Caenorhabditis elegans: one gene and its partner. The protein of the gene in region 2 interacts with the protein of the main gene of each other region in a pairwise test. Each region holds a gene or a part of one and is shown on either strand. Other genes may lie near its edges.

Region 1 (6,185 bases), on a different chromosome or scaffold from region 2:
CGTTTACATTTTTTTTTGAAAATTTCGTGTCTACTTTCTACAGTAACCCGCGCTGTCTGAATGAGCTCATTCATATTATCTATTCCATAAATATCCTAAATCAATAATTATAGGTTCCTTCATATACACTTTATTTTAACTTCCTCTATATTTTTCAGCCAAAAAAAACACCAAGTGGTCCCAACCATTCATCCATCCAAGTCAAATGTGCACACCCATCTCTTTTCGGTTTACACTCTGTCTGTTTCTCTAAATCTCTCATTCTTCATCATTGTCTCTCCTTCTTCTCCTTTCTCCATTCTTCTGGGTGCCTCTAGGCCTTTCTCGATTTTCCATTTCTTCACGTAGTTTTCTCCCAGTTTTTCCGTCGGTCTTTTTTCAACTTCAGAGAGTCTACTGATTCCTGTTTCTATTTTAAAGTGCTAGTGATAAATGTCTGAGAGATATTGGTCACATTTGACCTATTACATTCGGCTCGGTCAGATTGAAGTTTCAAGGAAATCAGAATATTTCATTTTTATATTCCAAGAATCTACTCAACCAGATGATTTATTATGTTCATTAAAAATAATAGGATTGGTTTCTCATTGATATATTATTCACCATCTGCCCTTTTTATCAAATCACAAAAAATCATTTTTATCTTTAATGTCTAACTGTAAGTACAAAAACGTGCAAAACTGAAAAACTTAAAATTGAAAGTAATTTTCGATTTTTTGTTCTTTTGATTTTTTAATCTTTGATCTTGAAAATTTTCCTCGACGTTTCTCGAATGTTCCTTCAAAAAATATTACCCATTATAATTTATGAGCTTTTTTCTTTCTCTATTTATTCCTATCGGGCCCGATATCGGGGAGGATTTTAGATTTTTTAAAAAATAATTTTATAGAACTTTTGAAGATACCTCTAAATGCCTACAATACTTACAAAATATGAAATAGTTTTTGTTTCTTTTCAAAATGCATAATCTCATTTATAAAAATGATTTATAAAACACAATTTACGGACTTTAATCCAAAATCGTATGTTTTCCATTGAAAAAGATAATATCTTCCGAATCTGGTTCTCGATCCTCGTAATTCTCTATTTACCCAACTCTTCTCTACACACAAATCACTGGATTATAGACTAAAAACCTAAAAATGCTCGAAATAGAAAACTTCTGCAGTTTGAATCTTAAAATTGTTCTAAAAGTGAATACGAATTTCATAAATCTCAATTATCAATTATCAGAAACAAATATTCAGAAAATAATTGGAAAACCTTTAATAATTTTCAATTATTACTTCTAATGGTCGTTTCAGAATGTTATTTTTAAAAATCGATTTCTTTTCACTGAGATCAAATTTACTTTTGGATCCATTTTTTACGAATGCATAATAAACATATTGTTATTACATCCAAAAATTTCCATAAAAAGCTCTCAGCTGACCAGCACGTGACGCATCTCGATGGAACAGAAATCAAACTGTTTATATGTTTGTTTGCTTCTCTTTTCTCTATCATCTGCTTTCAAGTATTCTTTCATTCGACACGTTCTCCCCCCGTTGTCGCTTTAATTCATGCTCGTTTTTTGTTGGGTGTGATTAGATGAGTAGTGTCTGGGCCTGACATAGAAAACAAGACCTTTGACTTGCCTTGAGTTCTGATACGATACCTGGTCTCAACGCGACCAAAAAATTTCAGCGCAAACAAGAGAGTGCGCCTTTAAAAAGTACGGTAGTTCTCCACGTCCAGTTTTTCCCAATTTCATAGATTTTACACTTTAAATCTTTTTCGCAACTAGGTAATATCGTTTTTTAAGAATAAAAACATCTACAGTAGGAAATCAAACAGAACCTTTTTTATCTGACTTACCTCAACTTTCTTTCTATCGTACAATGTTGGGTAGGCTTCCAACTCATCGAGCACCTTCAATTTCTTCTCGCAAACTTCATACATTTCTCCTTCAATGTTCTGAAAAAATTTGGATTAATTATTTACAAAATAGTTGTTTCAGTAGTCAAACTGGGCAAAATGACGATCGACACAACAAATGAGAGCGACAATAGTCCAACTAACTCACCAGGATTGGAGGTGGGATTTTTGAAAACAATTCTTTAACAAAATTAAATTTATTTAATTAAAATTCAATTAAACAAACTACAATTTTTACTTTCAAGGCCTCGGCTCGGACATTCTCGCTCAATGCGTCAAAAATGGTTCGGATAACCGACGACTACGCAGATGAAGTGTTCATTGAACAGAATGATGTCGTTATCGAGAAGCCTCGTATGGATCCTCTCCACGTTAGAAAACTTATGGAGACATGGCGCAAGGCTGCTCGCCGAGCAAGAACAAACTATATAGATCCATGGGATGAGTTCAACATCCACGAGTATCCAGTACAACGAGCTAAACGATATAGGTATTCTGCAATCAGAAAGCAATGGACAGAGGATATAGTCGATGTGAGACTTCATCCGGACAGTTTTGCACGTGGAGCCATGCGAGAATGCTACCGACTCAAAAAGTGCTCCAAGCACGGAACAAGTCAAGATTGGAGCAGCAACTATGTCGCAAAAAGATACATTTGTCAAGTCGATCGTAGAGTTCTTTTCGATGATGTCAGACTTCAGATGGATGCCAAATTATGGGCTGAAGAATATAATCGGTATAATCCACCGAAGAAAATTGATATTGTTCAAATGTGTGTCATTGAGATGATTGATGTAAAAGGTTCTCCACTCTATCATTTGGAGCATTTCATCGAGGGAAAATATATAAAATACAATTCAAACTCAGGATTTGTATCAAATGCAGCTCGTCTTACACCACAAGCATTTTCTCACTTCACCTTCGAACGTTCTGGTCATCAAATGATGGTTGTCGATATTCAAGGAGTTGGTGATCTTTACACAGATCCTCAGATTCATACAGTTGTGGGAACTGATTATGGAGATGGAAACCTCGGAACTCGTGGAATGGCTCTTTTCTTCCATTCACACAGATGTAACGATATTTGTGAGACAATGGATCTATCAAATTTCGAACTTTCGCCACCTGAAATCGAGGCTACCGAAGTTGCGATGGAAGTAGCTGCAAAGCAGAAAAAGTCATGCATAGTTCCTCCAACTGTGTTCGAAGCAAGAAGAAATCGAATTTCAAGTGAATGTGTACATGTCGAGCATGGTATTTCGATGGATCAATTGAGAAAAAGGAAGACGTTGAATCAATCGTCAACCGATTTGTCAGCAAAGGTGAAAGAAACATTTAAAAAAGTTCTAACGTATTCTATTTTTATATTTTTCAGAGTCACAACGAAGACTGTGTATGTCCTGAGTGTATTCCAGTTGTTGAGCAACTCTGTGAGCCTTGCTCCGAAGATGAAGAGGACGAAGAAGAAGACTATCCAAGAAGTGAAAAAAGTGGAAATAGTCAGAAAAGTCGACGTAGTAGAATGAGCATTTCAACGAGATCTTCTGGCGATGAATCAGCATCTCGTCCTAGAAAATGCGGATTTGTAGATTTAAACTCACTTCGTCAGAGACATGATAGCTTCAGAAGTTCTGTTGGGACATATTCTATGAATAGTTCTAGACAAACCAGAGACACTGAAAAGGATGAATTCTGGAAGGTTCTTCGAAAACAATCAGTTCCAGCAAACATTCTATCACTTCAACTTCAACAAATGGCTGCTAACCTGGAAAATGATGAAGACGTACCACAAGTCACCGGGCATCAGTTCTCTGTCCTCGGTCAGATTCATATTGATCTCTCACGATATCATGAGCTCGGGCGGTTCGTAGAAGTTGATTCAGAACATAAGGAAATGCTTGAGGGAAGTGAAAATGACGCTCGTGTACCAATCAAATACGACAAGCAGTCTGCAATTTTCCATTTGGATATCGCTCGGAAGTGTGGAATCCTTGAGGCTGTGCTAACATCGGCTCATATTGTTCTCGGATTACCACATGAATTGTTGAAAGAAGTCACCGTTGATGATCTGTTTCCTAATGGGTTTGGAGAACAGGAAAATGGAATTCGAGGTGAGCTTTTTTTGTTAATTTTTCTCTTTTAAATCTGAAATTCCAACTTTTCAGCTGATAAAGGACAAAAACCTTGTGGTAAGAATCAAGTTTTCTCGTGTGTGCTTTTTAAAAATTATTTTGTGATTTCCCAATTTAACCTTTCGTGTTGTTTCCTTTTTTGAAAGATTCAATCCTAGTGTTCTCAGCATCCCGTATTTTATCAAAATTCAAAAATTTTCAGACCTAGAAGAGTTCGGCTCCGATCTGATGGAAATTGCTGCAGAGATGGGTGATAAGGGTGCAATGCTGTACATGGCACACGCTTATGAAACTGGTCAGCATCTCGGACCGAATCGAAGAACGGATTATAAGAAATCGATTGATTGGTAAGAAATTTATGAGATTCTAGTGAAGATACAGTAACCCGACTTTATAGAGAATACTTTTAAGAAACCTAAAAAAGCTAAAATGTTTGATGCTATAGCTTCTAATTTTTTTTAATTGAAAATTTTTTCGAATAGCCGGAAAATTGAAAATCGAAAAAAAAGATTTAGAATGTAATTAACAGATTTGAAATTTCATCAAACTTTGTTTGTTTCGATGGAAATTTTTTTTCTTCTAAATAAAAATTTCAATTTACGAAAAAAAAAATCAAAAAACGAAGATTTTCGATTTTTTGAAATTTGAATTTTTGAACATTTAGGAAATTTGGAAATTGAAATTGAAATTTTTTAATCGAAAATTTTTTAAAATTCGAATAGAAGTACCCGTCTCTGATTCATTTTTTATAAGAAAAATTGTGAAAAACCAGAAAAACTAGGAACCTTCAAAAAATATGTTCAGAAAAAACTAAATCTACTTGTTGTATTTTTCAAAAAGAAAATCATATATGACCTATTTGCGATTTTTATTCTGGACTTCTTGGATGATTTTGTTCCTTAACATTTTTTCTATAAACTTGAGAAATATTCTAAATTTTGTAGGTATCAACGCGTCGTTGGATTCCAAGAAGAAGAAGAACTTGACTCTGATTGTGGAAAAACGACATTCTCCTCATTTGCTCCACTGACTCGTCACGAGATTCTAGCCAAAATGGCTGAAATGTACAAAGAGGGAGGTTATGGCCTGAATCAAGACTTCGAACGAGCATATGGTCTATTCAATGAAGCTGCTGAAGCAGCAATGGAAGCAATGAATGGAAAGCTCGCAAATAAATACTATGAAAAAGCGGAAATGTGTGGAGAATGATTCTTGAATTCCCCTTTCTTCAATCCTCAATGTATATCCTTTTTTCTGGTATAATGTACATTATTGTTTGTTTTTTTTTTCATATTAGTTAGTATCCCCATCCCCTACAATTTTTAGTTTCCCCCTGTCACAGTCCCCGGATTCAAGGAAAGAAAAAAATTTCAAAGATTTTGAATACCAAAAAAATTTCGGATCTAAACAAGTTTTTGGCATTTATACTCCCTTTAAACCGTGCGCATAATCATTTTTCTGTTTCTTTCTTTAAAATTTCCTTATTCATCTTTGTTTCCCTGCCAAAGCTGATTCCGTTCTCGTTCTTTTTTTTTAATTACTTGTCAATATGCTTCAAAGTACGTCGGTTTAAATAAACTTCAGGTTGTAAAACTCACATTTCCATTCCCAGCATCATCAAGCAAAAATGGAATGTTATATTTGGTTCCAACTACCAATGGGAACTTTTCCACTGTAGTTCCAGATGAGATGAATCTGAAAGAAGTAATGCATCACATTTGACACTCAAAATTCTTCAGTACTCCCGAACTTACCGATATTCTCCGTCAGTTTCTGACAGAACCTTGTAGTTTGGCTCTCCTGTTTTCAGGGTTCCATACACGAAAACCTTGAATTTTTCGCCCATTTTTGCTGGAAATGAATTAATAAATTACAGATTTTTTCATTATTTTAAGTTAATAAAAAAACATTTAAAAAAAATCTGTATTCATCAATCATTCGATATGTATATTTACACAATATGCCTTTCGGAAAAAAGAAGAAAAATACGCGTTTTTGTCTTGCCACGAAAGATTATTGATTGAAAAATGGCAAAAGGGTGTGGAAAAATCAATAAACTGAATGAGCACAAAATGGGGTTATCTCTTATCGGGATGGGGAAAAACTGAAGAAAAAAAAGGAAAATCGGTTCATAAA
Region 2 (2,721 bases):
GAAAAAACAAATTCGGATGATTCAACATTGGTCCCAAAAGTTTTTGTTCTGCACAATAAGTTTTTGACAGATTTAATCATTTTCTTTTAAAAAACGTCGTTTTTAGATAAAATTATATAATCCAGAGAGCTTATGAAAATTGAACGGAGAATTCGAAAATACTGTAGCAAAACCAACATTGTTACTGATTTTGGGGGAAAAATTATGACTGTACGTTTTGGCTATTTCTCGTGATTTATGTAAATAAACAAAGTTCAGAGTTTCACAGAAAAAAATACATCATGTTGGTACTTTCCTGCATACGTTTATAAATAAGTTACACAACCAATACCATAAACAAGCAGAGAGAATACGGTGTTAGATTTTAAACAGGATGAAAGTACTACGAATCCATAAAATCTCTTGTTTTTTTCAAATTTAATACTGAAAAAGTTAGAGAGTCAAGTTAGTCATTTATTTCAGAATCACATTTATCTGAGTTCAGCAAATTGATTGAACTGAAAATTATCGTGTTATCTGCTTCTGTCGTGGCTTTCAGAAGTTGACGATATTTTTGGAAAATTTGCAGGTAGCTGCTGATTGGGTGGATTTGGTGAACTGTGTCTTCTCCCTTCGTGTGATTCGCTTGATCTTCTGATTGACCTATGTTGAGAAAAACCAAAGCCAGCAGGTTTCAAATCAGATGGCTCATGAGAGCGGGAGTTGGAGTTTGAAGCTGATCTGTTTTTTCGCGGATACGCCTTACTGGTAACATATCCATGGATGCTATCAATGCTTTCGTACTCCCACGAGGCTTCACGGTTATCTTTGTAATCATCGTAATCATCGGCGGACACAAAAAAGAATAATAAGGCAAAGGTGAAAAGGAGCAGTTTCATTTCTGACGGTACTTCTTTCTGTTACCTGCTTTTTATTTATACTTGTTCATTGTTTTTGTTATAAAATCTATATTCATGAAAAAGAAAGGAAACTGAAGGCGGGCGATCAAGTTCAAAAAGAAAAAAAATGTGATTAGGGTGAATCAACATTGGTCACAAAGGTTTTTGTTCTGCACTTTAAGTTTTTCTTGAAAGAAAAAAACTGAATACAAGGCGGAGCGAAACTTTTTTCAGTGAAAAAATAGAAACAAACTTTCGCAAAATATCTGATTTAGCTAGCTCATTCTTTCCAAAACTTGGACCACCTAAAAAAATTTTGAAATTTTTTTGAGGCTTCATTTTTGAAATTTTGGTGGAATTTTGGAAATTTTGGTGGAGTAGCGCCAGTGGGGAAATTGCTAAGAACCACTCCTTCGGTCCCAAAATGACCAAATATCATGATATAACATTTCAAAAAATTTTTGAAAATTTTTTATTTACTGTCAAAAAGTGGCAGTTACTCAGTTTTTGCCACTCATAGTTTTGGAAGTCAACCAGAAAAATTTTTTTTTCGACATTTTTTTTAAAATTTTGTTTAAATTATTTGTATTTAGAAGTTGTAGGGGTCGAAACATGCGGCATTTATTTAAATTACCTCAAAAGCTCGTATTTTTCAAAATGTTGGCAATTTGACACAACTTTGACCGGAAATTATGAAAATCTTAAATTTTTTGGAGTGTTTTATTATGATATTCGAATGTTTTGGATCATTATAAGTGCATTTAGACAAAATCCCCACTGGCGCTACTCCACCTTTAAGCGTATTTTAAATCAATAAGTTTAATTAAATAACTTTTTTAAAAACATATTTTAACCATATTTATCATCGCGAAAGAGAACCGTGAATAAAACAGAAGGGAGCAGTGATTATTATTTTCGGCGTTTGGTATTCTAGTCCGCATTACACCGGCGACTGGACCTGGTATGCTTTAAGAAAACGTTAATAACGTTTTGATATTTTTTAATCTTCAATGCGAGTTTTGTACAAATTTAAAGTTTTTAACATGACTTTAAATCTGTAAGTAGTCATTCAAAAATTAAAAAAAAATCTATTAATCTAAAAATCTAATTGTTTGAGCTATCAAGCAGGAAGCAAAACTGAAACTGAAACAACAGTAGTACTACATGCCATTTTTCAATTAAACTAACTAGAAGTTTATGTATTAAATATCAACCCATTATTCTGAAAGTCAACAAAACTGAACCAAGTTTTCATAAGGAATGTTGCATCCATCGACTCCATCGGTGAAGATACTTTCCGTATGGAACATTTTATGGCTAAACTTTTGCCCTGTAATGAGACAGTTCTAAAAAATTTCGAAGAAGTTGCTTCCAAGCATTCATTAAGACAGGTTTAAGTTATACAATAAGAATCAATTCAGAAATATACCAACACTTTATCAAAAATACAAGTTTCAATAACCAGATTGGGTATCTTGAGCTGGGTCTCCATAACCACTTTGCGCTGGTGGATCTTGAGCTGCTCCACCATAGGAATTTTGAGCTGGGGCTCTGTATGGTGTTCGGAGAACAATGTATCCACGATCAAACTCATCACTTTCACTGCTGCTGCTGCGACTACGGCTTCTGGAGTCCGAATCCGAATCGGAATCAGAACTGGAGCTGGAGGAGCGAGAGTTAGATCTTGAATTTCGGTGATGGCGTCTTCCGCGGTGGCGGCGTCTTCTGTGTTTTCTTGGAACATCAAACTCGTCATAAACACGACTGAAAGTAAGATAAATATTGTAGAAACAAGATTTTACTGCTCACTTGTATCCTGGGTGAGGAAGACGGGATCCGTAAG

The links.
Region 1: the proteins of ZK813.2 (region 2) and efk-1 interact in a two-hybrid assay, tested with the Caenorhabditis elegans proteins (one large-scale study listed by BioGRID).

What each region holds. Positions count from the first base shown.
Region 1 is NC_003281.10:6,164,362-6,170,546, reverse strand, and holds efk-1 (Eukaryotic elongation factor 2 kinase), read left to right. Parts: upstream 1-1,999; 5' UTR 2,000-2,016; coding exon 2,017-2,076; intron 2,077-2,162; coding exon 2,163-3,239; intron 3,240-3,292; coding exon 3,293-4,028; intron 4,029-4,082; coding exon 4,083-4,106; intron 4,107-4,251; coding exon 4,252-4,396; intron 4,397-4,993; coding exon 4,994-5,258; 3' UTR 5,259-5,641; downstream 5,642-6,185. Other genes in the region: F42A10.9 (Gamma-glutamylcyclotransferase family protein), read right to left, coding at 1,858-1,956, 5,648-5,744, 5,804-5,895. UniProt on the Caenorhabditis elegans protein: Phosphorylates elongation factor-2 (eEF-2) at two threonine residues that are conserved in all eukaryotes and are located within a GTP-binding domain. Calcium(2+)/calmodulin dependent activity.
Region 2 is NC_003284.9:3,441,983-3,444,703, reverse strand, and holds ZK813.2 (Neuropeptide-Like Protein), read right to left. Parts: upstream 879-2,721; coding exon 513-878; downstream 1-512. Other genes in the region: ZK813.3 (FIP (Fungus-Induced Protein) Related), read right to left, coding at 2,333-2,642, 2,688-2,721.